Linked DNA regions of Tamandua tetradactyla. The protein of the gene in region 1 interacts with the protein of each later gene in a biochemical or structural test. Links are inferred from orthologs where the notes say so. Each region holds a gene or a part of one and is shown on either strand. Other genes may lie near its edges. The genes, in order: DAB2 and FCHO2.

Evidence for each region.
Region 2: the proteins of DAB2 (region 1) and FCHO2 form a complex in vitro, tested with the Homo sapiens proteins (2 studies listed by BioGRID). The link is inferred for Tamandua tetradactyla from reciprocal best matches to the Homo sapiens genes DAB2 and FCHO2.

The regions. Positions count from the first base shown.
Region 1 is NC_135335.1:89,517,956-89,533,300, forward strand, and holds the start of DAB2 (disabled homolog 2), read right to left. Parts: upstream 6,065-15,345; 5' UTR 5,781-6,064; intron 1-5,780. UniProt on the Homo sapiens protein: Adapter protein that functions as a clathrin-associated sorting protein (CLASP) required for clathrin-mediated endocytosis of selected cargo proteins.
Region 2 is NC_135347.1:59,620,741-59,636,932, reverse strand, and holds the start of FCHO2 (F-BAR domain only protein 2), read left to right. Parts: upstream 1-8,600; 5' UTR 8,601-8,697; coding exon 8,698-8,730; intron 8,731-16,192. UniProt on the Homo sapiens protein: Functions in an early step of clathrin-mediated endocytosis. Has both a membrane binding/bending activity and the ability to recruit proteins essential to the formation of functional clathrin-coated pits.

The DNA.
Region 1 (15,345 bases):
AACGACTTCCTGGCAAATGGCAAGTATATATGATAGTTCTCATTGTTAACTCAGGGAAGAAGGAAACCCTTAGATTCTTCTCATTTTAAGATTTTTTCCATAAAAAAGAATTTTTAACCCTTTGTGCTTGCCTCCCTTATCTGGCAATGAATTCTATCAGGTAATAAAAAACACTTAAATATATTGCAGATAAGTATTCATGGGAAAAAAAAACAGAACATTTTTATATTTTATTCTTATTCTTATTATCTGATAGTCTCTGCTACAAGCCATCACCATCTCTCACATAGATTATTACATTAACCACTAGCTGCTTTCATCTTCTCCATCCCACTGATTAATGTCGACATATAAGCCAGTGGTCCTCATGAAACATGCCACATAATATCACACCTCTGCTTGGAACCCTAAAAACTCCCGTATCCATCAGCATCAAAACCAAAGTCCTTACAAATGGCTCTAAGACTCTTGATCTGCCCTCCCCTCCATGACCTATCTGATGCCTGCTCTTTCTGTTCTCCCCCTCACTTGCTTCACTCCAGCCACTCTGGCCTTCTTGCTATTCCTACCTCAGACCTTTGCACTTGCTATTCCCTTTGTCTGGACTGGCTAGTTCCCTTAACTACCTTAAATATTTGCTCAAATGTCACCTTCTCATGGGGAGTGTTTTGGCCATCTTGTGTAGAATACTGCCCCACTACTCTATCCTTTTACTCAGATTTACATTTTCTCCACAGCACTTATATCACCAAATGATATACTTTAATATCTGACACATTTCACTTATTATTGTATCATCTCTTTCCCCACCCCTAAATTGGAATTTAAGCTCCATGATAGCTGAGATTTTGCCTGTTTTAATGACTGTTGTTTCTCCAGACACATCAATAACATTTCATAAACAATAAATATTTTTTGAATGTCAAATTCTAGCCTGTTTTTACTGTCCTCCCAATTATGATGCAATGCAGCCCTGCAAATATAATAGAGTTTTTATGTTTGTCCAATTAAACTATTCCTGAAGCGTAGGATGAAATTAAAGATATTATTTCATGATGCTCTGATAAGACCTGCATGTCTTACAGGGCTCTACCCTCAATAAGCCTAAAAATGCTACAACTAGATGATTGCTAAGGTTCTCATCATCAGTATTTTTCATTGACTCTATCAGCATATTAGCGCAGTCCCAAATTAGCATGATTTAGCTTCCCCTGCTCACCTACTCTTCCAAACTAGAAATGTTTATCCACATGAGTGACATTCCTCTTCTTAGAAGGATTTATGAGCTTAATATGTTCACCATCTTCTACTATTCCTGTTGTTCCAGTTTGAGAAAGTAGCTGCACCTAGTTGATTATTGCACCAATATAGGCCCATTAAATAAAACTGGGGACCACCAAAGCAATAGGCTGAGCCCCAATCTTGGGTTGTGTTCATATGAAACTTAACCCCGCAAAGGATAGGCTAAGCTTACTTAAAATTAGGCCTAAGAGTCACCCCCGAGAGAACCTCTCTTGTTGCTCAGATGTGGCCTCTTTCTCTCAGTCAACACAACAAGCAAACTCATTGCCCTTCCCCTCTTTACGTGGGATGTGATTCCCAGGGGTGTGGACCTTCCTGGCAACATGGGACAGAAATCCTAGAATGAGCTGGGACTCAGCACAAGGGATTGAGAAAATCTTTTCAACCAAAAGGGGGAAGAGAGAAATGAGACAAAATAAAGTGTCAATGGCTGAGAGATTCCAAACAGAGTCGAGATGTTATCCTGGAGGTTATGCTTAAGCATTAAATAGATATCACCTTTTTAGTTAAAGCATAACAGAGAGGCTGGAGGGAACTGCCTGAAAATGTAGAGCTGTGTTCCAGTACCCATGTTTCTTGAAGACGATTGTATATAGCTTTCACAACGTGACAGTGTGATTGTGAAAACCTTGTGTCTGATGCTCCTTTTAACTACCTTATGGATAAATAAGTAAAACATATGGATTAAAAATAAATAAATAATAGGGGGAACAAATGTTAAAATAAATTTAGGAGATTGAAATGCTAGTGATCAATGAATGGGAGGGGTAAGGGGTATGGTACGTATGAATTTTTTTTCTGAACTGATGCAATTTTCTAAGAAATGATCATGATGATGAATATACAACTGTGATGTTATTGTGAATTATTGATTATATATCAAGAATGGAATGATCATATGGTAAGAATGTGTTTTTATATTGTTATGTTGAATAAAAAAATGTTAAAAAAAGACATTTCTGATACAGAGATTTTAGAAGATATTAAGGAATTAATTTTGTCAAATATCTTTGCATTGTCTTTATTTATCTTTATGTTACATAGTGAAATAAATATGGATAAAATTATATGATATCTGGAGCTTTCTTTAAAATAACCTATCTCCAAAATTGAGGGAGAATAGACAAAAAAAGATTGTTGAAGCCAAAAATGGGTATATGTGTGTTCAATATACTATTCTCTCTATTAATGTTATGTTTGAAAATTTCTAGACTTAAAAAAAAAGGACAATCGCTACTACCATTAGGCATTTCGTGGAGTTCATTCATTCATTCATTCAACATTTCCCATGTGCCATTTACTGGGTTGGGTGCTGGAAATAAACAGATGGTAGCTCCCATTCTAAAATTTCCGTGACTTACTTCAGAATGTTTCCCACATGGACCTTTTTTGTTTTTTAATTTTAAGTAGCAAAAACAATATCATTTCAGGATTTAGAAGCTCTGGATTCAGACTTGGGCTATCATTATACCTCTTAGAAAGTGTCTGCTTTTGTGTACCCAGTTCCCTGCCAGACGTGGGACCAGACATCTGTGTGTGACGGAGGAGCTCCTCCAGCAATCAAGGATCCATTGGGTAATGTTAACCACTCTCCATGCAACATTAGGTCTTATCAGAATGCCCAGGCCAGGGCCCCTCTTTGATACCCCTAAGCTCCCCAAGTACTCTCTTCTTTGGGTTTCTGATGACAAGCTGAAGTCTGATGATTTGTGAAATGACCTCATCTTTCCTGTCTGCTTCACACTCGGTGTCTAGGTGGACAAACAGGTACAAAGTCTACCTGGTTTCTGAGCCCCAGAAGGAGGCCTACAGTGCTGTCATGTGCTTGTCTGATGAGATGTTCCGGCTTGTTTTTCTTTCTCCTGGCTTCATAAAACCAGGAAGCCAATCTACAAAGATTCAAGTAGATTTTCTTTTGAGGGTGTGTTGTTGACGGAGACCTCAGTCCTTGGTATTTAGGACGTGACTACAAAAAAGCAATTCTACATTGTGAAGGTACAGCCCATATTGGGAGGGGGGTTTAACTTCTCCTTATCCTCCTGTTGCTAGCATTGGTAGCATCTTCTCCAGATGGCAAAAGCAGCAATGAGTTAGAGCTTGGAAATAATTTTGATCTTATTGAAGACGATGCTCAGCAACTTTGTTTAAATAAACTATCACATATGTTCTAATCCGTGCATCATAGCCATTTGCAAGTTAGACAAGCATAATTACCCCTATTTTAAAAATGATAAAATTGGGTTTCAAAGAAGTCAGGGGGCTTATTGGACTGCACATAAATTGGTGGTGAAGGCACTAAGATTCAAACCAATACTTTTGTTGTTGAAATAACTTATTGTTGCTGTGAAAAGGAAAATTAAACACATCAGTTTTTTGCTTTCAATTGATCTATGTAAATTCTAAACATTTTTAACTTGCAAATAATTTTATATAGCTCTTAATTAGAGATCATTTTCTTTTTAGGGGAGCCTCAACTTGCTAACTTAGCAAGGGTCATGTCTTAACCCTACTCCAAATTACAGACGGAAGACAAAGCATGGAAAGATGTTGGTATTTCCATTGAGTATACAATGTATCCACAGGATAGTAATAATATTTGATGATCCACTCATATTTCTTAGATAAATTAACATGGATAGTTAAAGAAATTTTCTGAACTGTTTTAATAAATCAATCCTTCTTATAATAATGATGTGTAGATTTTTAAGAAATATTTCCAAATATATAATCTCTTTCAGCTTTAACATTATAAATACTTTGCAGACCCAAGGACTGAATTATATAGCAATGGAGCAATAAATGAAACATATTTTTTCCCTTCTTATTAAGTCCATGGGTAGATATGGAATATTAAATAGACATCTTTTAGGTTTCTAATTGCTGTAGAATTATTCACAAAAAGTTTATTCTGGCAAGAGTCCCAGTTTTACCTTTTTATAACCCTTTTCCCTCAGTGTCAACAGAAACTGAAATTTCTAATAAAAACATAGGGCTTCTCTTAAGATTGTTAGTTTTTATCATACAACACTGCATAAAACTGATTTAATAGAATAGGAAACATTCCAGTCCTTGAGGATACGTTTTGAAAATTTACTAAATGCTAATCAGTATTGAGGAATTTTTGGCCTAAATACCAAGGTTTGCTTTCTCTTCAGTTCATGCTTTTTTGGGTGGGGTGGGGTGGGGAAAGGATATCCCTTTAGGAGTTACTATAGCAATATAACTTGCTATTGAAACTGTAAACATTAATGATGCTTTGCAAGGTGACACCCTGCAAAAATATTTCAGTCATTCTGAATAAGGCTTGAAGTAACATTTCTACAACATTTAACTCTGGGTAAGAGCTGGAGAACTGAGCATCTGAACAATGTTGCCTTTATTAGAAAGCAAGCCTAAAATGAAATAGAAATCACTTTTACTTCATTTTCTTCTCTCTACACTCCCAGAAAGAAAAAGAGAGAGAAGAGAGTGGGAGAAGAGAAAGGGGGGGTGGGGGGGGGGGGGGAGAAAGGACACTGAAATCAAATAAAAACTATCTGATCATGCATATCTTAGGAATGTGAATGCATGTGTGTGTTTGTATGACTGTGTAGGTGTATGTAAGTTGGATTTCAGTTAGAGAGTATTTCTATATCTCCACAATTTCTACACTAGCTTGAAACCAAATATTTAATCACTTCCATAAAAATGTTCAAATAAGAAAAACATGCATGAAGAAGGCAGCAATAAGAAGAAAGCATTGCTATATATATGTTATAGCTAACCACACATGTCATTCACAAAGCAAGCAAGTGGCCTAACCAGGAATTTTCCAAACACATTTTTTGTTTTTGGGTAGAAGTTAACTGCCATACAGAGAGCTTCAAAATAGAAGAGGAAAATGACAGGTTAGTGTGGACATTTTTTACTGATTTATCCCTAAAAAAAGACTGCATCGTGAATTCAAATGCAAGTCTTTTTTCGAGAAAGCATCTCAAACACAAAAATAATTTAGCATGCAAAGCTCTTTCACAGAACCAAAAACCCAGTCTCAACTAGGAGACCTCTGTAAGAGACAGCCTCTTCCAGCCTGGTCCAATATTCCCCCCCAGTCCCTACCCTCGATTTTGGAAGCTTTTCCACTTTTAAGTCTGTTCAGTTCTCCTTTCAGTGTCTTTAGAGAACGAGTATATCCAACAGGAAATACTGGAATCGTTTTCGCAAGACCTCCATTGCCCGGTCACTGTCCTGAATAAGAATCAGTACTACCACGTGGTGAGCTGAACTCCACCGAGAGCCTTGAGGCATTATACTTAAAATCACTTTAACTTCCATTCCAGTTGGGCTAAATTGAAATGGTCAGAGTCTGCATAACTCCTGGAATTATAGACTCTCAGATTTTAAAGAACCACAGCGTCTTCTTGTTCAGCCCCCAATGCAGTACTTAAATTCCTTCTTTAATACCACCTCTTCCTGCGCACAGAGGTTGTTTAACTTACCCCAGAATGCTTTCGGCAAAGGGAATTTTCTGCGGTCTTCTATTGTGTCCTTCTTAGGTTAAATGCCTTTTCTCTTTACTCATCAAACGCAGATACAGTACGAGATTCAGTCTCTTTTAGACAGTTACAGGGGTTTTTGCCATTTGTTTAAGCCTCAGAGACATTATTATAAAACTAACGCAGATGTTAGCTCCGTACTCTGAACCTTGAGTCCTTTCCTTTCTCTCAGAGGATTCTCCAGTGGAGATGATTTACATGTTCCCTCCACTGCTGGTTTGGAGTTCTTGTTTCTGCTGAACTGTTTCAGTTCAAGGTTCATCCTGCCTGCCGACTCTGCTTTACACTATCAATGCAGGCACAGAAATCAGCAATCTTCCTTAATCAGTTCTCCTTATTCTCCATAGGAAACCTTCCTAAACCAAGACCTTTGGGAGGGTGGCAGTCTTTTCTGAAGGTTTGTGGAAATGAATGGGAAATGAAATTTTTTTGCCATATATATGAATAATATTAGTCCATAAATATTTGAATATTAGACTTTTTATTATTAAACGTCATGTTCTGCTCTGTGTTGAATTTACTCTTCCCCTCCTGAAATTCCTATGTTTTTCATAGGTAAAATGATTTTGAAATCTCTCGTTTGCTTTCTCTTGTCTTCTGCAGCTCCTGAATTCTTGTGGGTCCTCGAGCAGATACATGCTGACATTTCTTTATCACTTTCACCCAAGGTCTTATCAGGCCTACAGATTATCATCAGCCACACCAAAGGTCTTATCAAATTATTTTAAATAAAATCTCTTCCCTTCTAGAGGAGAACACGTCTCTATATATTTCTAAATTTTTGGTGTTTGAGGAACTTTTGACAAGATTTTGCCCCATTTAGAGTGCATTTATTGAGTAAATTACAAGCAAAAAGAAAGAATTCAAACAAATGAACAAAAATATAGTGAGCACTGGATTTGACCAGCTGTGCCTCCCATAAAGTGAAGGTTTTAAAACTTAGTTGTTGGTTGAATTGTGCAATGACAATACAAAAAGATGAAAGAATGAGTCTTTCTCAGCCAAGAGTTGGTCCTTATCTTGAAAAAAAGTCTGTCCAAGTCTGAAATTTTATGTACAAATCCCTTGAAATATTGGTAAGATTTTTTGTGGGGGAGGAGGGACAGAGTGAGAAATTTGGAATTGAAGGGTGAGAGTTACACAGGTTAGAGTTTTTCTTACATGTTACTGTTCCATTTTGTCTTGTGGCTTTATTTAAAGCCATCAGCAACGTAAGCATAGAAGAGAGCAGAGAGGAGACATTAGATAAGAACTCTGGCCCTACATTCCAGATTTTTCAAGATAGTCTTGACTTCAAATATTTTGTCTTAATGGCTTTCATACTGTTCATATCATGTTTATTAATTTATAGTTCAGAAAATGTTTGTTTCATATATGAGCCAATGGGATTATTTGCACTAAAACATTGCAGATCTAAATTGTAAATATATGGTATTCAGTTAAAGAAAGCAGATTGAAATCACATGTTTATCCTCTTGCCCAAGCTTCATGAAGCAGTTACTTAAAGGAATAAAAGACTATAAACCAGAAGGGCAAAAAGAATATAAGATTGGGACTTTAGCAGGCAAGTACAAATCATTCAATGGGTGGAAAGTGACAAAGGTGCCGATACTAATTTATAAGGGCAGAAGAATCCAGAATTTATGTGTATGGAGGGAGGGTAGTAACCACACTAGAAGCAGTTCACAATGCAAAACCCTGGAAAGACTTAGCTGAGGTGATGGGTGGAGGCAGTGAGGCATGGGCCTAGAGTAAGTGGAAAGATCAAATACATTGACATTCCCCTCCCCCCCAGTGAATGGAATATCAACAACCAGGTGATTCCAACTCTCTGATGCATACCCTGAAGAGAACACTAATGCCCCTTCCCCATCATCACCATAGAAGATCAGGGCTTTATTTATTACTTTGAGAAACTGAATGAGAATGGCTGGCAATTCAGGTATGGTGGAATGTGAAGGTAAGACTCAGGGCTAAACTCAAGGGAACTAATAAGAGTCTGCTTATACTATAGTAGTTTGATCTTCCTAGTCCACTTTCCCTTCTAATGCATATAGCAGAGAGCCCAGTAGCTGTCCCCAAGGCAAGAGATCAGAAGGTTACTTGTCTGAAAAAACATAATCACCAAAATGTCTAAACATTGGCAGTTGGGGAACTGCTTCTTACAAGATCTCCCTGGAGAGAAATCATCTAACCCAGTCCATGTGTACTGAGCTTCCACTAGGATTTAAATGCCCTACTCTTAAACATGAATGAATGAACTTGGCTCACCAGAAAGATAAAGAGAACCTTCACTGTAGAAGAGAGAGACCAAAATAAACAAAGTGAAAACAAGGAAAGAGAAGAATTTAGAGATAATGCAGGAATCATACAAATACTAAATGTGTCTACTTCTTGATATTCTTGGGAGGTTTGAAAAGCTATTTATTCCATAAAAAATAACAGATTGCTATTTTGCAAAAGAATAAGAAGCAATAAAGGGCTCTAAGAAAATAAAAATGGGATAGCACCACCCCTCCCTCTATAAAAATGAGAAGTAGAGTTGGAAGATAAATTCTAGAGGTGTTCCCTGAGATGGAGCCATAAGATTTGAATGATAAGATAAGAATCACAGACAATTAAACTAGGGAGTATAACACTTGACTAAAGAGATACTAGGAGAAGACAATTTTAACGCACTAAAGAAAAGTTACCAAAACTGAAGGATAGGAATCTCCAAATAAAAAGGACAAAACTGAGTCTTCAGCAAAATAAAAAAAGACCTATGTCAAAATATATCATAAGGTAACTTCAGAAGCCAAGAAGGAGAAAATCAAAATGATTCCAGAGAGAGAGAGAGACATTACATTGAGTGAATGAGTTTCAGAATGAAATCATACTTCTCAGCAGTAATGTTAGATGTTAGAAGACAAGGGGAAAAACTCTCAAAATTATGAAAGAAAATTATTTCAGCCTAGAGTTTTATACCCAGCCAAACTACTAATCATGGTGAAAATAGAATAAGGAAATTTTCAGAAAATTTATCTTTTTACCTTTTCTTAGAAAACTATCAGAAGATGTGCTCCAGCAAAAAGGGGAGTAACCCATGATCCAGGAAAGTGTTTTAAACTCAAGAAAGTAAAAAGGAAAATACCCAGGTTGATAACTGTTTGTCAAGACTGGAGCCCAACTGACACACACTTGAGAATAGGAATGAAAGGGTCTTGGAGGGAGACCTCCAAGAAAAAATTATGGGAAAGTATAGCAAACTATATCTGATTTGATAACTGGCCAAAGGAGGGGGAAACAGTAGGAAGACAATGTGTCTGCTGGAGCATTTAGAACACACTAAAGAACTCTATTTTATAGCCAAAAATAATATTTAACAATATTGAAAGGAAGGAGAAGTGGGGGTGGTGATAAAAGAGAGCAAAATCTTCCAGAACCAAAGACCCAATATGACCATTGGGTTATATCTAAAATGATAAATTGAACAACAGCAGTATAGTTAAAAAAAAATAATATGAAGGTAATTGCAACAAGAAGCAGCTGAAAGAATTTTGGTTTCTTATCAGAATCAGGAATGGGCTTGCAGTGGGAGGAGAAAATTAATGTTTTTCATAAGTTTTTTTTCCTACAATTTGAATTTTTAACTGTCATGATGAATTTGATTCTAATGAAGCAAAGATAAAACAAATGAAAATAAATTGTCAAAGTGATCTTGTCACATTATGCTTAAGGCCTTCACTGAGTTCAACAATTTCCTCAGAATCAGTTTTGAGCTTCTCTGCTTGGTTTGTGCGACCATGAGTGAGCTCACTTCGTGTCCTGTAGTGTTAGGGATCCCTTTGCATTTTCCAAAACACAACACTGGTATTTCTTTTGCTGTTTACTGTTTTCTTTAACTGGAGTATCCGCCCCTCTTTTTTTCAATCACTTTGTCCCAGTGGATGGATAACTCTTGTTATTCATCTTAGAGATTTTGTCTTAGGCAGTGGCTTTCTGGGCAGTTCTCTTTAAACTTTGCAAGACTGGGTTAGGTCACCTTTTACTTTACTCCCACAGAATTCAGTACTTCTGTCTGATATTGCGATTATAATCTCCTAGTTGCTTTTTGTATCCATTCCTAACATGAGTGATTTTGTTCCTTTGTTCTTTGAGAACAAAGACTGCTTCTTGTTTATTATGTGCCCCCAGTACCTACCGAAGGACCTGTGTTTAGTAGGCATCAGTTTTTGGGTTTTTTTTTGTAACAAGGTAATCAATTGAAGGAAAAGATAGGCAAGATAATGAGTAACTAGTAAATCAAAATGGGTGGAAGTTGATTGTTCTTTTAATGCCTTTGTCATGCCTTGTAATCTGAAGGTATTTCCTGTTTGCTTTAAGTCACCACGTTTCATCAATTCTAAGATTTGTCTTATTTTCCATGTTTTAACATTTCTATTGTTGGAATATGTTATACATCTGATGGCAAGCTATAAATTTTAATTAGTGGTGTTTTCATTCTTTTCTAGTGGTAGATAAAATAATGATGCATCTTACAACCAAGGGAGTCTTAGAATCAATGGATTATTATACATGTAAGTTAAGAATATGTATGGCATATATACCAAATATATGAAAAAAATTTAATGGAATTGGAGTCCTGAGTTGGAGTTATAGCATGCAGGACAAGAACCAAACCATGAAGATTTTGAGATGCCCTGGGAAGATTTTAGGTGGTGGGTTTATTGTCGGCAAGAGAAAGGAGGGAAGAGAGCTGTAGAAAAAGAATGGGGAGCAGAGTAGGAAGTTGATTTCTTTTCCAAGTTACTAAAAAGACAGGTTGATAAAGCTCCTCACCTGATACGAGTTTATGACAAAGTTATAAAGGCAAAAGTTTAGTTTAGCTTATTATTGAAGGGTTGAAATAGCATGATTTAACAAAGTTTCACAAGACACTCTGCCAGCAGGGAAAAAATTATTGAAAAGAAAAACAGGGATTCTAGTTTCAGGATGTGTCACCAGTCAGTTAAGAAAACTTGGAAAGTGAAAACCTTCCATGTTCTTACAGACCATGACGCCAAAACCAAAACTCAAATTAGCCATTGTTGGGTAAAACCCCTGATTTTGCAAAACCCAGGCCCAAACCAACTCCGGCTGGATACAATCAAATGAGGACAATATTCAGAAAGTGTTTCTTTTTTAGAAGAACAGCAGACTATTTTGGCCAAGAGGAAAAACAAACAAACAAACAAAAAACCTCTGCCATTGCACAGCTAGTTAAAGCTAAAGAAGACAGATTACAATAATATCGGAGACTTGATTACACTAAAAAGTATTTGTTTAAGCAATTCATGACTTAACATTCTATATCTCCAGATAAATAGTATTTTTTGCCCTGAACTAAATGGGACACACAGATGATCCGGAGTCTCAACTCAGAATAGAAGTTAATAGATTTCCTGATTGTGTTCTCTCCCTCATCCTCCCACTATTTTATTAAGTTTAAAATTTTTTTACATTTCCTGTGGATTTATTTCCAGATGAATAGCCATGAGCAATTCTACAAAAATTATCATTAAAGAGAAAGAGAATTAACCAACAGTCAATTTTTTTTTTTTATTTAAACATGGGTTCTAGAAAGGGCTAAAGAATAATTAATGCCTCTTTCTAAAGCTCAGTGAAGTGGTCTTGGCATTGAACTGCTTTCCCCAGGAATTGAATCAACTGCTTCATGGTTAGAAATTCCCGTGGAAATATACCAAAGAAGCCAATGACTGAGGTGTTGTTTACCTGGAGAAATATTCCATTAATGTACTCACAGAGTACATAATTATTATTATTATTATTAGGGCAGTGGGGTACATGGTCCAGGAATTGAAACTGGGTCTCCTGCATGAAAAGTGAGCATTCTACGACTGAACCACCTGTGCATCCGTTTAGCTGCTATTTTTCATCACAAGCAAGTAGTAGATATTATTGTCAGGATAGAATCTTTTTATTTTCAGTGGTGACTTTTTCTTGTTTACCTGTGGAGTAATTTTTTCCAGGTCTTAATTATCATGAGAAAGTTTCTTCAAATTATAGCACTAACAAAGAAACATTATCTTTTACAATGTCTGAAAGAAATAATAAATTTAGACCCTCACTTCTCTGTGTCACCTCACTGCACAACTGGATGGCAAAATAACTTTGATATGGAGTTCAATTTGTCTTATTAGATCTTCATTTTTTATAATAGAGTAGTTTTAATCTGACAGCTGTTCAAAGCCCAAATGATTCATGATTGCACTTTCCTGTAGTGCTTCTGAGAGTTCCAGAGATGTTTCATATTTCCAAAGAGCATCATTGTTGTATTTTCCCAGGTATAAGGAGTTTTGTGTGATTGGTGTTCTGAGAAAACAGTGTGGATCTACAATTCAGCGAGTATTTCTTAGACAAAGGCGGCCATTGTAGCCTCCAGAAGCCTGTTTATTTGGGTTAAGGGAGTGTTTTGTGAAAGAATGACAGGCTGACACATATTTATTAATGTCTCTCATACTGTGTGACAAAATCTCATAGAGTAACTGTGAACAGAACAATTTGTCACCACTTTATAGAACCCTTTCACACATAGAATCCATGCTTTTGTTCAAGCTACCTAAAGCATTCAAGTTTCCTAAAAGACTTGTTGGGCAAAATTCCCACAAAATGTCTGTGCTGGTTTGAATCTGTTATGTACCCCAGAAAAGACTATGTTCTTTTAATCCAGTCTTGTGGGGCAGACTCATTGTGGGAGGGACCTTTTCATTAGGTGGTTTCTATGAAGATGTGACCCACCCAATTCAAGGTGCTGCTTAATCCTTGGACTGGAGTCCTTTATGAAGAGAATAGTGACAGAAAACCCAAAGAAAGGCAGAGCAGAGAGATGAAACCAAGTGAAGGATGCAGAGAGCAAGAGAGAAACGCCCCAGAGATGCTGGAAGAAGACCTGCAGGACTTAGAGCGGTCAGAGAGGTGTCCTCAGAGAAGCAAGCAAGGACATACAGAAACTAAAACCAACAGAACCTGGAAGCAAAGGACCAGCAGATGACTCCACATGTGACAAAAGAAACCCATGATGTCATCAGCCTTTCTTGAAGGTATCTCCTGTTGATGGCCTTAGAGTTGTAACTTGCAACTTAATAAATCCCTATTGTTAAAAGCCAACCCATTTCTGGTATATTGCATTTCAGCACCTATAGCAAACCAAAACAGTGTCACTATTTTTCAAGGCTTTCAGTTCTTCCTTATATATATGTGAAATAACTTTCTTATTTGTTAACTTTTTCCAAAGGAGACGATAAGTCTTTAGGAATATCCTGTAAGTAAAACTTGAGTCTTCAAAAAAAGTTGTAGAACTTTTTTTTTTAACTTCTTTATTGTATGGTATAACATATATACAAAGCAAAGAAATTTAAAAAGCAATAGTTTTCAAAGCACTCTTCAACAAGTAGTTACAGGACAGATCCCAGAATTAGTCATAGGCTACTGTATGATCCTCTCAGATTTTTCCTTCCAGCTGCCCCAGAATACAAAGGCTTAAATATTTTTTATCATCACAATTGACTTTTTTCCTTTTTTGTGTGTGTGAAAAATAACATATACAAAAAAGCAATAAATTTCAAGCACAGCACCACAATTAGTTGTAGAACATATTTCAGAGTTTGACAGAGGTTACATTTCCATAATTTTAGGCTTTTACTTCTAGCTGTTCTAAGATCCTATAGATTAAAAGAGATATCAATTTAATGATTCAGCATTTAAATTCATTTGTTAAATCCTATCTTCACTGTATAACTCCATCATCACCTTTGATCTTTCCATCCTTCTCTTTAGGGGTACTTGGGCTATAGCCATCCTAACTTTTCCATATTGGAAGGGTCTGTCACTAATAAAGGATAGGGAAATGGAGCTATCTGATGTTCTGGAGAGGCTGGGCCTTCTAGGTTTCAGGACTTATGTGAATCAGGGACCCACCTGGAGGTTGTAGGTTTCTGGGAAGTTACTCTAGCGCGTGGAACCCTTGTAGAATCTAATATATTACCCTACATGTTCTTTAGGATTGGCTGGAATGTTCGTGGCTGGGGTTTGGCAAGTTATGATAGATAGCAAAGTCTAACTGAAATTTGTGTCAGAGCAACCTCCAGAGTAGCCTCCCAACTGTATTTGAACTCTCTCTGCCACTGATACTTTATTAGTTACACTTCTTTTGCTCCTTTTGGTGAGGATGGAATTGTTGATCCCAGAGTGCCAGGGCCAGATTCATCCCTGGGAGTCATTTCCCATGTCACCAGGGAGACTTTCATCCCTGGATGTCATATCCCATGTAGCGGGGAGGGCAATGATTTCACTTGCAAAGTTGGGAATAAACATTTTTTTTTTTCTTTTTTGCATGGGCAGGCTCTGGGAATCGAACCTGGGTCTCCAGCATGGCAAGCGAGAATTCTGCCACTGAGCCACCTTTGCACCAGAACTTACTTTTATATTGGGTATTCTTTAAAAATAAAAGTGTTAATCAGGGTGCATGGAAGGTTCAGTGGTAGAATGATCGCCTTCCAAGCAGGAGACCCAGGTTTGACTCCCGGAACATGTACCCCACCTACCACCAAAAAAAAAAAAATGTTAATCAAAATATATGATGCACATTTTCTAGTGATAAATGTATTTGCAAGAATCAGTGGCAACAAGAATGTGGCCACTTGTTATTATTTAGATTGCTGATTAATGCTTATGTCATTCAGTGCTTCCAATTTGGATTCTGCTGGCCTTGCTACTTTTCTGTTGTTTGGTAGTTATTCCAGTACTTTCAAGTTTTGTTATTCACCTCTAAGAAGAAATTGGGCTATAATTGTCACTCAGATAAAATATAGAAGATATCCCTAAATATTTCATATGAATGGTTGTAATATAAGTGTGTATGTAGATGTGCGTGTGTGTGTGTATATGTATGTGTGTATTTGTATGATTCTGCCAGGTTCAGATGTCTAACTCCAGACAAATTGGTGAAAGTTTTAGGCAGATATTGAGTTTGGCTCAATATTGAGTTTGGCTCAATATCTGTTTTCTAAGCAAGAGAACAATCTTGTTGCAGAAAGAACTGCTACAAGGAGCAACCGAGTTCTCAGTCCTTGAGGTGCTCAAATAGAACCTGGGACTTATTGAAGACACTGTCAAAATGTTGCAGCATACACTAAAAGCCTTCTAAAGAGCATTCCAACTCTGAGACTCCATGAAATAAAAATATCATTTGAGCAAGATTGGGTTTTAACTTCATGCTATTTTGAGCCAAAGGAAATCTCTTGAGTGGGGGAGAGAAACATCGTTAAAATTAATTGAATGCTAAATGTTGAGATTTGTACAACTGGTTTATTCAGCACACTATTTGTTCTCTAAATGTTTATGTTAGAAGGGATCAAGACCATATAAAGTACTTAATCATGCCTGCTTCACTTGAGTCCCAGTCTTTTCTCATTAACTAATTTTTAGGTTTTTCTTCATGTCCAAAATAGCTATACCCTTTTGTATA
Region 2 (16,192 bases), on another chromosome or scaffold:
TGAGATAATATATAAATGTTGCTATAATATGCAGAACTAAAGTTACAGATACAGTAATAGTTCTTGTTTTTCCAATAAATTGATCCAGACTCTATTAGACTTATTAGATGGAAATCTAGAGATATCCTCTTAAATCTCCACTTTTATTCTGGATCCCATACCTTTCCTTTTTTCAAGGACTACATTTCCACAATTATCTCCCTTCTCCCCCCTCTTTGGCTCTTCCCCTATGGCACCCAAGCATGCTCTATTACTGCTCATTTAACAGTCCATCCTTTTACCCCTTGTCAGCCTTCAATACCTGACTATTTCATTGCTTCATTTCTGACAAATGTTTCAAATGAGTTGCCTCTAGTAGCAGTCTCCACTTCTGCTTCTTTCTTCAACCCGCTCCAATCAGGTTCATATCTCCATCATCTCAAAGAATCAACCCTTGGCAAGGCCACCTCTATCCTGCGAACTCCAATGGTCAACACTTAGTAGTTGTCATCCATTGGCCACTTCCATGTTATCTTTCTTTCTTGGCAATTCCTCTAACTTACTGTTACTCATTGTCTCCTTTGCTGGCTCATTCTTTTCTCCTGATCTCAAAATGCTGGAGTGTCCAGGGCTTTCTCCTCTGCTCAACAGCCTCTGTTTCTCTCAATCTTCTCTCTCCCTATGAGAGTTCATTAAGTCTTATCGGTATATACTGATGATCTTCAAATTTATGTCTTCAGCCCAACCTCTGTCCTGAGCTCCAGAGTCATATATTCAATTGCCTGTCAGACATTTCCATTTGGATTTCCAATATACATCTCAAACTTATGTTCAAAACAGAGTCATTGAGGTCTCCTCCTTTTCTCCAAACCAGCTCCTTTCCATGTCTTTTCACTCTCTGGGAAACCATTACGCAGTCAGTTTCTCAGGCCCAGATTTTAGGATCATTCTTGACTCCTTTCTTTCCTTCACACCCCACTTGCAACCCATCAGTAAGCTCTGACCACTTTACCTTTGAAGTAGATCTTGAACCCAGTCACTTTTTACCATTTCCACTCTTCTCATCTAATCCCTGCCACCGTCTTCCCCCGTCAGGAAAATTACATCAGCCTTTTAACTGGCCTCCCAGTTGTTGTCTCCCTACAATCCCTTTTCACAAAGTAGTCAACGTGATCTTTTAAAAACATAAATCAGATCATATCACTTTGTTGACCTAAAACCCTCCATTGGCTTCCTATAGCACTTAAGCTACACCAGTCTATCTACACTTCTACCCTTCTCTTGACTCTGATTTCATCTCCATCTTCCAACTTCCATTCCAGCTCCATTTCCAACTCCATTCTCAACTCCAGCTTCCATTTGGTAACTGCTTTCCAGCTGTACTGGCCTTCTTTCCATTTACTTGAAAAAATCAAGCTCATTGCTACCTCTAGGCCTTTGCTTTCATTGATCTTTCAACATTATTTCCAGACCTTTGCAAGGCTATTTCCTTTGGCTCCTTCAGGTGTCTGCTCATTGTCTGTTCCTCACTTCTGATGAAGTAACATTTTAACTACTGTAGATAAGAAAGGCCCTCTTCTCACCACACTGTACCCTAATTCCACTTCATAACATATATCAGAGTATTTGAAAGGATCTCATTTATTCGTGTGCTTATGGTCTGTCTTCCTGCACCAAGTGGAGTAGTGAAGTGATTGGTCTCATTCACTATTGTATCCCCAGGGTTTAGAACAGGGACTACCTCAATACATGTATTCAATAAGTATTTGTTAAGTAAGTAAACAAGCAAGGGGCCCTCCTTCTCCACGAATGTCCAAGAATCTCAGGAACTATGCTTTTTACTCGTACATGTTACTGCTGAAATCTGGTGTTACATGATGTGCAGAAGTTCAGCACCTGGTAATAACCCCTTGTGTCTCAGGTCCATGCCCAGGCTGCACTGGACTTTGGAGGAGACCTAGCCCACACTCCCCATTCTAAGCTCAACAAAGGGTGCCTCTTGCTTGGGCTCCTGTGATCACAGTCGCTAGTGCTCTGGTCTTTCCGGTGTTCACTATCATCTTCCTCAGGGGCAGCCCCAGAAGCACTGATTTTCGCACGTTGCTGGGGATTCCACTGCCCCATAGACCCGAAAACCATTGTGCTAATTGAATCCAGGCAGTTTCTTGTCACTTTCTTTGTGGGGGGAAAAAAAAGAAAATGAAAAAGCACAAATTGAATTTCTTTGGTGTTATCTTTCTGGAACAAACCTTGATTCATTAATTTACCCATTTAACAAAAGTGTATTGGGCACCAACTATATGCCAGGTCATCTTCTAGGCACACTATTGTTATAATTGTCATCTCGTCATGAATCTGTATTAGATTGCGAATTTCTTAAGAGCAGAGATAGTCTTTTCACTGTAATAGGTGCCCAATATCTAGTGCCTGAGGAAGTGAAAGAGAGAGGAGTTAATGGAAGATGTTAAGAAACATTAAGCCCAGTTACATTTATACTAAAATCAAAACAACCATTACTCTTTACATAATAAATTTTTACATTAAAGTAAATTTTAAATTTTACATTAAAATAAATGTTAAATATAATAACAAATAATTCCCTTTGTTTTCTAGGCTATGCAAAGCAGATACCATGAAATGCATTGGCTTAAACAATGGGAATTAATTAGCCCTACAAGCTTACAGTTTTGAGACTGAGAAAAATGTCCAAATCAAGGTATCATCTAGGCGATGCTTTCTTCCCCAAAACTGGCTGCAGCAATCCTGGACGCCTCTGACACGTGGCAAGGCACATGGCCATGTCTGCTGGTCCCTCCCTCCTCGACAGGGTTTCTTGCTTCTGTGACATTCTTTCTCTTATAAAGGACACCAGTAAGAGGATTGAGACCTACTCGGAATGAGCTGGGCCCCATCTTAAGGTAAGATCCCACTCACCAAAAGATCCTACCCACAACGGGTCCACATCCACAGGAATGGACTAACTTTAAGAACATACTATTTGGGGGTACATACAGTTCCAAACCATCACATCACCCTGATATATATACATTTATTCATTCTTCCATGTTTTCTTTTGATTATTGTTCATTTGCATACATGTTTTGAATATTTGTATTTTTAATGTATTTTCCATTTCGTCTTCTGCCTTTCCTCTTTAACATTAATGAGAAGCATCTTTGCATTCTATGTTCCCATCATCACCTGTGTAGTTTTCAGTAATTAAGCAATTTCTCCTTTTTTATTTTTGAAACTCCTATTGGTTTCCCTGTGGTCACCAGCAGTGAAAATCCCTGAAGAACTTCTCAGGTGTTTTTGTGCTTCATCCAAAGACAAAGGTATATGTAAAATACAAATATTATGAAATTTATTTTAGGAATTGGCTTACACGACGGTGGGGAGGGGCAAGTCCTAATTCCACAGCACAGGCTGCATCCTGGGAACTCCAATGAAGGTTTTCAATTAATTCCCAGGAGAAGCTGGCTGTCTGAAATAGAGATGGAAATTATTCCCTCCACCCCTGAAATCATCAGTTCTCCCTTTAAGGCCTTCAACTTGGGTGAGACTTCTCTCACTGTTGAAGGCAAACTCCTTAGTTGATTGTAGATGTAATCAGCCCTAGATGCAATCAATTTACTGATGATTTAAACCCACAACCTACCCTCACAGTAACCATCAAGCCAATGCTTGCTTGACCAAACAACTGGATATCATAACCTTGCTTAGTTGGCACGTGAACTAACTAACACAGACAAGAAGGCAAGGGAGCCCCTGGAAAGTATGTCTCATTCTGAAGGAAGAGATGCTGCTGCAGCAGGGAATAGGCAGTCTATTCCAGGTGCATTGGGGAGTGAAGAAAGGTGCACCTGGCAAGCTACCCTGAGCTGAAGGTGTGCGTGGAGAGTGATGTTTGAATATTGCAATTTGATTAATGTGTTTCCCCTTCCTGGCCCTGGCATACTGGCCTGCTTGGTACCATCTGCTAAGCTTTTGCTTTTCTTTCTGTTTTGCATAAAACTTTTCCTTTCAATATGGTGCTGTTAAGTGGGGGAAAGGAGAACATCAGACATCAGGGATCTGCCTGTTTTTCTTCTCCCTTTTAATAGAGCTCAGCTCTTTTGTCATTTGTTAGTGTCAAGTACAAGATGAGTGCAGAGAAGGGTTACTTCACCTGGCACAGGACACTCCTCCTTGAAGGTATTAGCTGGAAATAGGAGAGGTTTTTAGGAGCATCTCTGCTTGGAAACAAGCGAAGGAATATTTGTAAAATTATAAGGAAAATAATTGAAAAAATGTGTCTTACTTTATAGCCAACTCTTCTGGAGTAGAACTGGTTTCAAATGAAGTAATGAGGAAATGGTGCTTGTGACTAAATGCTGACTAATATGCTCTAGGCTGAGAACCCAGAACTGGAAATGGGAGATCAGACTTGAGGGGAAGTTCTCTGGGCGCCTTGCCTAAGGAAGTGGGCCTTCAAATCTTGGAGACAACCCACATTTTGGAAACCAGAGAATCTAGGTTTATGTTATTTCCCCTCTCTTGTTTGCTACTGCTTATTGAGTTATGTTTATACAGCCCAGGTGTGTTTTGGACTATAAGGTACATGCTTGGGCCAGTTTACTGGGGAGCAACAGCATTTCCTGGAAACACTGTTGACAGGTGTAATTAGAGAGACATCCTAAGAGGAAGATGAATCTAGGGAAGAGGACAGAGGCTGGCTGACACCACTTATATTCTTCCTGTACTACATCATCTCCTCTGAATTTAGTCACCGTAAACACTATTTACTATAAAGTCCCACAACTTAAAAACACTAGGCAATTACAGCTTATGGTGTTTTGGCCCTATGAACATTACAAATACCTGAAATACATAGAATATTTATCTTCACGGCTGGCCTACCCCTGATATTTATGGGATCAGAGAAGGGACTATATGTGGGGGTCAGTGCACTACATGCAACTATTGTGACACTACTAGGAAACAATGGTTGTTATGCAAAAATCATTCAAGCTGAGAGGAAATATTTGACAAGACAACTAATTTATTTCTGTCTTATCTCAGCACTTCTGCTCAAATTCTGCCTGAACTTCAAACCAGTCTATTTCTGATATCAGCAACCACACCACAAGGTTTAACAACATTTGAGGTCCATCTTTCGTTTTGAGGACATAAGGCAAGAGATGTGAAAAAGCATTTCCTCGCGTGTGAAGATATTGATCATGGGAAAAGATATTTAGGGTTAAGAGGTTATGTCAGTGTTCAGCAGCAGATCATGAGTGACATAGGCACCCAGGTGTTTTTAATAAATTAACATGTGTGTATTTGTGATATGTAGGGTCCTTTATAGCATGGAGCCCAGGATAGGGACCCCACTTGCCTGGTCTAAGGGTGGTAATGCTTAGTGAATACTACAAATTTAATGCAAAGCTCATTTGCAGGGTGGTCTAGACGGATGTGTCATTTTAGAATTTCTTCAGCATTAAGAGATAGCACTAGATCGACAGCTTGGAGAACACTGTAGCATGTACCTAGGTTTAACTTTCCCAAATATTAGAAGTAACATATAATATTATGAAGACTTTTTAAATAAAGAAAATAGCATTTTCCAACTTCAACACACTTAAAAAAATCTATTTATTGTGGAAAATTTCAAACATATACAAAAAATAGAATAGTAGAATGGACCACTACATTTCCAGTACCTATCTCCAACAACTATTAATTCATGGCCAATTTTGTTTCATTTATACCACTACTCATCCCTAAATGAATTATTTCAAAGCAAAACATAAATGCCGTATGGTTACATCCTATATGTATCTAAAAGATACTCTATCACAATTATTCCCAATTTTCAACACTTTTCAGTTTGATCTATGTGAAAGGTACCATGTGATTTTTGCTTTTGAGGATGTATCTCACCATGAAAAGAAGTGTTACTTTACAGCGCTCACAGTGTTTGAAGTCACAAGATCTGAGTAGATTTGGTGTGCAGGAATAGCTAAAACTACACCGAGTCCACGTGTGGGGCTTCAAGAACTGCTAGCTCTATCTAGCTTTTGATAGAACTATCAAAGTTCTTTAACAAATGATCAGGTTACAGGGAATTTGAGACCTCATATTTTTACATATATATTTACTGTTGTAAAGCAATGTGTGGGAAGTGAACTTAGTTTCTCTATCAGGTCAAGGCATGTTAAAACTTGCTTCTTTTTCCAAAATGTACAAGTTGCTGAAAAACCATCGCCTTACATAAGCAAGACCTGGAAGAGATTTTTTTTTTAACTGTTCGGGTCACGGAGAGAGGTTGGTTCAGTTCCGTGCCCACTGCCAGCCGTGCTGGCGGTCAGCCTCCGTGTCCGCTGCTGGCGGTGCTGGCGGTCAGCCTCCGCGTTCGCTGCCGGCCGTGCTGGCGGTCAGTCTCCGTGTCTGCTGTCGGCCGTGCTGGCGGTCAGTCTCCGTACCCGCTGTCGGCGGTGCTGGCGGTCAGTCTCCGCGCCCGCTGCCGGCGGTGCTGGCGGTCAGTCTCCGCGTCCGCTGTCGGCGGTGCTGGCGGTCAGTCCCCGCGTCCGCTGCCGGCCGTGCTGGCGGTCAGTCTCCGCGTCCGCTGTCGGCGGTGCTGGCGGTCAGTCTCCGCGTCCGCTGCCGGCCGTGCTGGCGGTCAGTCTCCGTGTCTGCTGTCGGCGGTGCTGGCGGTCAGTCTCCGCGCCCGCTGTCGGCCGTGCTGGCAGTCAGTCTCTTTGTCCGCTGTCGGCGGTGCTGGCGGTCAGCCTTCGCGTCCGCTGCCAGCCGTGCTGGCGGTCAGTTCCGCGCCTGCTGTCGGCGGTGCTGGCGGTCAGTCTCCGCGTCCGCTGCCGGCCGTGCTGGCGGTCAGTCTCCGTGTCTGCTGTCGGCGGTGCTGGCGGTCAGTCTCCGCGCCCGCTGTCGGCCGTGCTGGCAGTCAGTCTCTTTGTCCGCTGTCGGCGGTGCTGGCGGTCAGCCTTCGCGTCCGCTGCCAGCCGTGCTGGCGGTCAGTTCCGCGCCTGCTGTCGGCGGTGCTGGCGGTCAGTCTCCGCGTCCGCTGCCGGCCGTACTGGCGGTCAGTCTCCGCGTCCACTATCGGTGGTGCTGGCAGTCTCCGCGCCCACTGCCGGCTGTGCTGGCAGTCAGTCTCCGCGTCCGCTGCCAGCCGTGCTGGCGGTCATTTCCGCGCCTGCTGTCGGCGGTGCTGGCGGTCAGTCTCCGCGTCCGCTGCTGGCCGTGCTGGCGGTCAGCCTCTGCGTCCTCTGCCGGCCGTGCTGGTGGTCAGTCTCCGCGTCCGCTGCCAGCCGTGCTGGCGGTCAGTCTCTTTGTCCGCTGTCGGCGGTGCTGGCGGTCAGCCTCCGCGTTCGCTGTCGGCGGTGCTGGCGGTCAGCCTCCGCGTCCGCTGTCGGCCGTGCTGGTGGTCAGTCTCTTTGTCCGCTGTCGGCGGTGCTGGCGGTCAGCCTCCGCGTTCGCTGTCGGCGGTGCTGGTGGTCAGCCTCCGTGTCTGCTGTTGGCCGTGCTGGTGGTCAGCCTCCGTGTCCGCTGTCGGCCGTGCTGGCGGTCAGCCTCCGTGTCCGCTGTTGGCGGTGCTGGTGGTCAGCCTCCGCGTCCGCTGTCGGCCGTGGGGGCGGTCAGCCTCCGCGTCCTCTGCTGGCCGTGCTGGTGGTCAGCCTCCGCGTCCGCTGTCGGCGGTGCTGGCGGTCAGCCTCCGTGTCCGCTGTTGGCGGTGCTGGTGGTCAGCCTCCGCGTCCGCTGTCGGCCGTGGGGACGGTCAGCCTCCGCGTCCTCTGCTGGCCGTGCTGGTGGTCAGCCTCCGCGTCCGCTGTCGGCCGTGCTGGCGGTCAGTCTCCGCGTCCGCTGTCGGCGGTGCTGGCGGTCAGTCTCCGCGTCCGCTGCCGGCCGTGCTGGCGGTCAGTCTCCGCGTCCGCTGTCGGCCGTGCTGGCGGTCAGCCTCCGTGTCCGCTGTCGGCCGTGCTGGTGGTCAGTCTCTTTGTCTGCTGTCGGCGGTGCTGGCGGTCAGCCTCCGCGTCCTCTGCTGGCCGTGCTGGCGGTCAGCCTCCGCGTCCTCTGCTGGCCGTGCTGGCGGTCAGCCTCCGCGTCCGCTGTCGGCCGTGCTGGCGGTCAGTCTCCGCGCCGGGTCACAGGCCGCGCCGGGACTCTCCGGTGACCCCAGGCTCCGTCCCTCCCGGCTCGCTGGCCTGGGCCCCTCCGGGCCGGCCTCCCGCAGCAAAGGTTTCTCCCACCACCGCGCCAGGGGCCCAGCTCCCTCCTCCGAGAGTGACCGTTCGGGGTCCTCGAAGGCCGGGGTTGGCCCTGTCAGGAGGCAGACCTGCCGCCGGCCGACCCCATCTTCGCAAGGCACTGTCCGCAGTGACCCTCCGGAACCCGGCTCCACCTCTCCAAGAGGAACCGCCGCCAGCCGCACCCGGCAGACCCGAGGCCGGCAGCAGCAGCCCCGAAGCCAGAGCCCGCGGCGCATGCGCACAGCGCAGCCACGGCGCCGAAGCCTTCGCCTCCAGATGGCGCATGCGCCCTGGTGGGTGGGGGGCCGGTCTCAGAGGGCGTCGACAGCCGCTAGGTGGCGCATGCGCCCTGGTGGGTGGGGGGGCCGGTCTCGGGACGGCGACGGCGGCGGGCGGGGGCGCCGCGGGGCCCGGCCGGTGTTTACACAGCGACGGGCGGGCGGGACGTGGAAGCCGGCGCCGCGGCAGCACAATGGTCATGGCGCATTTCCTCGAGAATTTTTGGGTAAGAGAAGACTGTTGGAAACCGACTGTTGGAAAGTGTGGGTTTTGGGGCCTGGCCTCGGCCTGCGTGCGCTGAGGGCGGCGGCGGCGGCGGCGGCGGCGGCTCCTCAGGCTCCGCGGGCGTCCTCGGACGGCGCCTGCCGGGTCCCGCCTGCCGCTGGCCGCCGGGACCTGGACGCGCGGGCTCGCCGCTCGGCCGGCGGCGGGGGTGTCAGCGCGGCCTTCGGCCCGCGACGGGGCCGCGGGGCTTGGACAAAGCGCGGGTGCGGCGGGCGCCGGGCGCCGCCACGGCTCCGGGACTGCTCGCCGGCTCCGGGCCCCGCCGCGGGCTGCCCTCCCCCCGCAGACTCCGGGGATCCCTGCGGCTCCCGGGACTCCCCAGGCCCGTGCTCTGGACCCCCACTGGCTCCGGGCCGGGCGGGGGACTCGCCTCCCTTCGGCGCGCCACCACTTCCCCCGGAACCCCGTGCGAGCTGGGGCTGGGTGAGCCGTTCCCGCGGCCCCCGCTCGGCCGGTCGGTCGGCGCCCGGGCCGCCCTGGGCCTGCCCGCGAAGCGGGTCCAGGCTGAGCTTCGGTGGCCGAACGACGGTCGCGGCGCGGAGCCTCCCGCCTGGCCCCGGCGCGCTCTCGCGTCCTGCGTCCGCGCCCGTCCTCCTCGGACTCCGGCTGGGGAAGGCCGCCCCGCTCCCCTGCGCGGGGCTCTTCCGCGGGTGTTGGTGGTGGTGCGGGCGCTCGGCGGCCGGGCGCCGGGCGCCGGGGAGGAGCGCGCGTCTCCGGTAGCTGGGGCGAATGTCATCTTTCCGCCCGGCAGTTCAGGCTGCAGTTCCCTCTTAGTTGACGCGGAAATGTTTGACGGAGTCATCTTTTCGTGAGGGATTTGTCCTCAGTTCTTAACTCTCAGCCTCTCATGTATTGACTCGTTTGGTAATCGAATCAGTTCAGAGTTGTATGCCACAATGTACCTTGTTTTCCACAAGCAGCATGAATACTAGATACTAGGATTTAAAAAAAGTCTTACTGGGATATTATTTACTTAATGTACGGTAAACCCATGTAAAGTGTTAGTTGATTGACTTTTAGTTTGTTCACAGAGTTGTGTAATTACTATGATCAATTTTCGAGCAATTATATCAACTCAGAAAGAAATCTGTACACATTAGCAGTCACTTGGTGTTCTTTCTCCCCCCAGACCCTGACAACCACTAATGTACCTGCTGCCTCTGAAGATTTGCCTCTGCTGGACATTTCATATAAATGAAATCAAATAAGTGGTCTTTTGTGACTGGCTTTTTTCACTTAGCATAATGGTTTCAAGATTCATCCGTGTTGGAGAATGTATCAGTAATTCATTCCTTTCTACTGCTGTATAGTATTCCATTGTGTGGCTACACCACATTTTGTTTATCCATTCATCCGTTGATGAACATTGGGTTTTTCCACTTTTTGGCTATTATCTATAGTGCTGTGATGAACACTTTTGTAGACGTTTTTGTGTGGACAAATGTTTTCATTTCTGTTGGGAGAGGAATTGCTGGGTCACATGGTAACTCCATGTTTAACATTTTGAAGAACTGCCAAACGGTATTTCCTGTACAATTTTACAATTCCACCAGCAGTGTCTGAGGGTTCCAGTTTCTCCACATGCTCATCAACATTTGTTATTATCTGTCTTTGTGTGTGTGTGTATGTGTGGTTATATATACATAACAAAATTTCTCATTAACCGCTGTATTATATGTATACAATTCAGTAATTTAATTGCGTTCATAATATTGTGCTTACTGTCACCAGCGTCCATTGTCAAAGCTTTTCTTCCTTCAAGTAGAAGTTCTACACCTGTTAAGCAATGTCCTACTCTCTCCCTCTTCCCAGCTTCTTGTCACCTTTAATCTACTTTTTGTTTCTATGAATTTGCTTATTTTAGTTATTTCAAGTAAGTGAAATCATAAAATATTTGTTCTTTTGTGTCTGACTTATTTCAATCAACATAATGTCTACAAGATTCATCCATGTTGTTGCATGTATCAGAACTTCATTCCTTTTTATGGCTAAATAATATTCCATTGTTTGTATATACCACATTTTATTTACTCATCTGTTGCCGGACACTTGGGTTGTTTCCATCTTTTGTCTTTTATGAATAATGCTATGACCATTACTGTACAGATATCTGTTGGAATCCCATTTACAGTGCTTAGGGGTATATATGCCTAGAAGTGAAATTGCTTGGCCATATGGTAATTCTGTGTTTCATTTTTGGAGGAACCATTTAAGTGTTCTCAACAGCAGCTGCACCATTTTCATTTCCCACCAATGATGTGTAAGGGTTACTGTTTCTCAGCATCCTCTCCAACACTTATTTTCTGTTTTTTTCTTTTAATACTAGCCATCTTTGTGGTATTAAGTGGTGTCTCATCGTGGTTTTGATTTGCATTTCCCTAATGGCTAAAGGATGCTGAGCATCTTTTTATGTGCTTATTGGCCTTTGGTGTATATTTGGAGAAATGTTCATTCTCTTTTTATTGTGGCACTGTGGATATGCCAAAAGTTGTTAAAGTATTCTTCTGACTATGGGCAGTTAGATTGTTTTCAATATCTTGCTGTTACATTTGTGATTACATTTGTATATGCATGTGTATATCTTTGGATAAGTGTCTCTTCAGATCCATTGCCCATTTTAAAATGGGTCGTCTTTATTTTACTGAATGATAATAATTCTTTATATTTTGGATACAAGTCCTTTATCATTATAAGTAATTTGCAAGTGCTTTTTCCCATCTGTGGGTTTTTTCTTAATTGATGGTGTCCTTTGAAACACACACATACATTTTAAATTTTGATGAACCCTTGAAGTCCAATTTATTAAATTTTTTCTTTTATCATTTGTTCTTTTGGTGTCGTCTCTAAAAAGTCTTGGAGTTTACCTAACCCATGGTCAAAAAAATTTACTCCTATATTTTCTTCTTTGAGTTTTATACTTATAGCTTTTACATGGCCTTTGATTCACGTGGAGTTCATTTTTGTGTTTGTACTAGCAGTAGAACTTCATTCTTTTGCATGTGGATATCCAGTTGTTCCAGCATCATTGGTTGAAAAGACTGTTCTTTCCACATTGAATTGTCTTGATATCTTCGTCGAAAATCAGTTGAACATAAATGTAAGGGTTTGTATTGGACTATAAATTTTTTGCATGCCAAGATCACACTGTTTTGATTACTGTAGATTGCCAGTAAGTTTTGGAATCAAGAATTGTTAGTCCTCCAACTTTGTTCTTCTTTCTCAAGATTGTTTTGGCTATTCTGGGTCTCTTGCTTTTCCGTATGAGTTTTAGGAACAGTTTCTTAGTTTCGGGTATTAGGTTTTACAGTGGTAATTATGAAAACTTTTTTTATAAAAACCATTTATTCCGATTAAATTGACGTTCTTATATGTTTTATGTAATTTTTTGATTCATAAATTTATTTTGAAGTTTGCTAACTTAATTCCAAATTGCATCTTAACATTACAAAGGTTGTATTTTATTTTCTGTTGAGTGAGCTTTGCACATAGCTTTGTTTGATGTTTTTGGCTATTAGGAATAATACTTCTATGAATATTTTTGTGTAAGCTTTTATGTGTCTCTTTTTTTGCTCCTGTTTTTAGAGAAACTTGGATATCTGTACTCTAGAGAGAATTCTCAAATCTCATTTATGCCTCCGTTTTTACCTTCACTTCCAATAAATATTTTATTTGAACAGATTGAGTACAGATAGTAAAATAGACTTCATTTTATCTTATTTCCTAGCCTGGAATTGGGACTGAAAACTCTAAATTATAGTTTAAAAAGCTTCAAAGGAGGGCTAAATGAGCTAGGAAAGTCTAGGAACTAGTACATAACCAGCTTCTGAGAATGTGATAATTGTCTGTTTAAAACAACTTAAAATTTACAAATTTCAGGATCATTTATAAAGCAATTACTCAAATAGAAAACTTAGAATATTAATTTCACATTTTTCCTAATATTTAAAGTGGCACTACCAATACAAAAATAAAACTTGTTGGAATAAGTTTAGTGGGAACCCTTAAAATTTTAGATTTCTGACCCAAACAGCCTATTAATTACTTTTCCCCATGCACATATAAAGGCGAGTTTTTTTGTTTTGGTGTTTTGTTTGAGGACATTTAAATCACTGAAATTCTCTTCAAGCTCTTTTAAAAACAGCACATGCTGTGTTTTCCTTTAAAGTATATTCTGTTAATTAAAACTTTATGCTGCTACGTATTCCTTTAACTTAATACTATATTCTGAAGTGAAAAGTGTATTAAAAACTTCCTATTCAGCAGGTGTTTTCTTACTGATAAGTCAGTTTTTGCCACACACCTGAAAATGCTTTTCTTTCTATTAAAACTTGACAGCAGAAATAATTTTGATAGCAGAAATCCTTACCATTGCCTTCAGTGTTAAAAACAATTGTTAGCCCTTCAAAATATTATTAACTTAAATAAGGTTATCTACAAGTATTACAGTGAGGTAGTGTCTCTATATGCTGTTTCTTTCTCAGAGTTGAGTAGTAGTTTATAATATCCTTGAGATTGTCTCTGTGAACATTGAACTATAGTAATTAAAATTGTTTTATATTTTTACATAAGCCCAGGTTATTTAGTTCAGGAATAAAAAACTTTTTCAAGGAATGGATTTCATAAATAATAATTATTTACGGGGAAAAGATAAGTGAGCACAGCACACTTGAGTTGAATACATTATAGACCTCATTTTACACAGTAATCCCCATCTGTATAAGCTATGATGCCGTCATCCAAAGGCCCTTGACTATTTTTTTGTGTACATCATGTTGTAATGAACTGAGATTTTTAGTTAGATGATTTTTCCAGAGGTTATCTCTAGTCAGCACATGAAAAATGAACAATCAACAATTATGTTAGGCATTTTTTTCCCCTGAAATTGTGTGCAGAAGTTTCATTCTCTTTGTCTTTCAATTTCACTGGTATTGTCATACTTTAATTTTAATGGAGCAGTTGGTTATATATCCAAACATTGATCTGTTATTATGTGGATAAGGTTGGGAGATTTAAAATGTGTTTTAAAAATCTGAAATTGCTAATAGGACTTGGATTGCAGAACATTAATCCAAACTTAGCATTCTGGATGACAGACTTAAACATATACATGTACACATATACACATACACACATTCTTTGAAGTTGTTTATCCATATGAAAATTAAAAAAAAAAATAGCTTTAGAAAATTCGGTTGTGGTGACCACAGAGACCCAGAATATAGGCTGTCTTTTTGTTACTTGAAATTCCCAAATATTGTAGTTTGGGGTATGGGTATCAGCCTAGTATATGATCTCATCAGATGATATGCTAAAATGTAAAAAAATTATATATATATAAAAAATTAACAGGCTTGCAAATTTCACATGGTTCAAAACTCAAAAAATACAAAAGGAAATACAGTGTAAAATCTTTTTCTTTTTCTCCAGTCATCAAGATCGCTCCAAAGGCAGTCACTTACCAGTTTCTTATATAGCTTTCCAGTGATAACCTATATTTATATAACCAAATGTCCTTCATTAAATTAAAATATATTATTGTATGACTGTTAGCCATGCTCAGATTGTTCTCAACTGTAGCAAGTTATGAAAATGTAAGTTATAGATTTATCCAACTTGGTTCAAGTAGATTTGATAGGTGGACGTTATAAAATAATAGTGTTTTAGCTCTCACTGAGTTTTATTTTGAGACTCTAGGGTTGTTTTTTTTTTTTAGTGGGGAGGGGCTGTATGTTTACCTTAATAGTTGGACAAATTTGGAAATGAAAAATTGATAGTGATTTAGACTGCATAAGTTCAGTTGGAAGAACTTTGGTAGCAATCAGATACACAAAAAGAAATTTAGATGGGTCAGATGTGGGGAGAAACAAAAACAATAGAACAAGAGCAATTGAGACCTATAATGACTACTTATTAGAAGAGGTGCCGGGGAATGTCAGTGGAGTGGCCAGAGTTAGAGAAAGTGATTAGTGAACTGTGTGATGAAGTTCAGGAGCTCTTCTTGCTTCCTTATGGAATTGCAGAAGTAAAAGCCACGGAAAATAGCACAAGCATGTTTGTTTGACTTTAGGGAAAAGATAGGAAGGTACAACATAAGTAAAGCAAATTGGTGATGATGGGGGCAGAAGCCAAGAAATGTAGAGGTTTTAGTTGTTTGAAACTGTTAACAGTCAGTGAAGAACATTGTTATGTTCTAGGTAAACTCTCAAGAATACAAAAGAAAACTAAAATTACCTATAGGTCCTCCTCTTACAAGAGTAAATTGAAGCGTTATTAAGAAAGCTGAAGTTATTGTTAATTTTTTTTTCAATTTGAAAGTAAAAACCATATTACAGAAAATTTGAGAGGTAGAAAAATAAAAACAAAAAATTATTATGCCACCGTTGTTTGCTTCTGCTATTTTATTGAACCCATATAATACCTACTTAGAAGGCTTTAATGATTTAACCTGAGGAAACTGACTGGAAGAGATGAGTTGTTATTAAAAGATTAGAGAGGGCTATCTGAGGGGCAGGAAAATGTAATAAGATTTCGTTCCTTAAGTCAATCACCAGATGTGTTCAGTTGACTTTTGTACTTTCATCAAATAGTGCGGACTGCCAGTGGTGCTCATAACGCACCTTTTATTTTTTTTAATTAATTTTTTTATAACACATCTTTTAATCACGATTTTCTGCTTTAGCAATATCTTGCCAGTGGCTCTGCAATATAGTTTTTTGTTTGCTTGTTTTTTGGCGTGGGCAGGCACTGGTAATCGAACCTGGGTCTCTGGCCTGGCAGGCGAGAACTCTGCCTGCTGAGCCATCGTGGCCGGCCCTCTTCAATATAGTTTTAGTAATCCTATCTGAAAACATCAATGTACAAGTAGAGTATTGAATAGAAGGGGTTGTGACTTGTGGTTTTTTTATTTGTGGAAAAACTACTTGCATATGTTTTAATTTCTTCCTGGTAGTTTTCAAAGCAAAAATGGCACTGAAGGGCTCTCATTATATATTTGTTGAACTCATTAAAAATGCCTCTAGTCAATTCTTCACTAGAGGTGTCGATTCTTCACTAGAGGTGTCAGTTCTTCACTAGAGGTACTATTTTTCAAAGAAAAAAGTAAGCTTTGAATTACTTTAATGTTTTATGGTGTCTTTTTTAAGAAAAAGGAATGGTGAAGTAAGACTATATCAAACACATCTTAATGTTATGTTTTGCACTGACTTGTCCAAAAGTTTGTCTAATAAGTGTCAAAGTAAGACCTAGAGTAAAATGTAAATGCAGAGAGATTGGAAAGAGATATTTACGTATTTATTTTTGAAGTGGTTTGGAGTCAGAAGGAAGGGTAGACATGTTATTGTTTGCATGTCAGCCCCTCCTGACCCTTGTCTTCCCTCTCCAAAAAAACAGAAAAATAAAGTCAG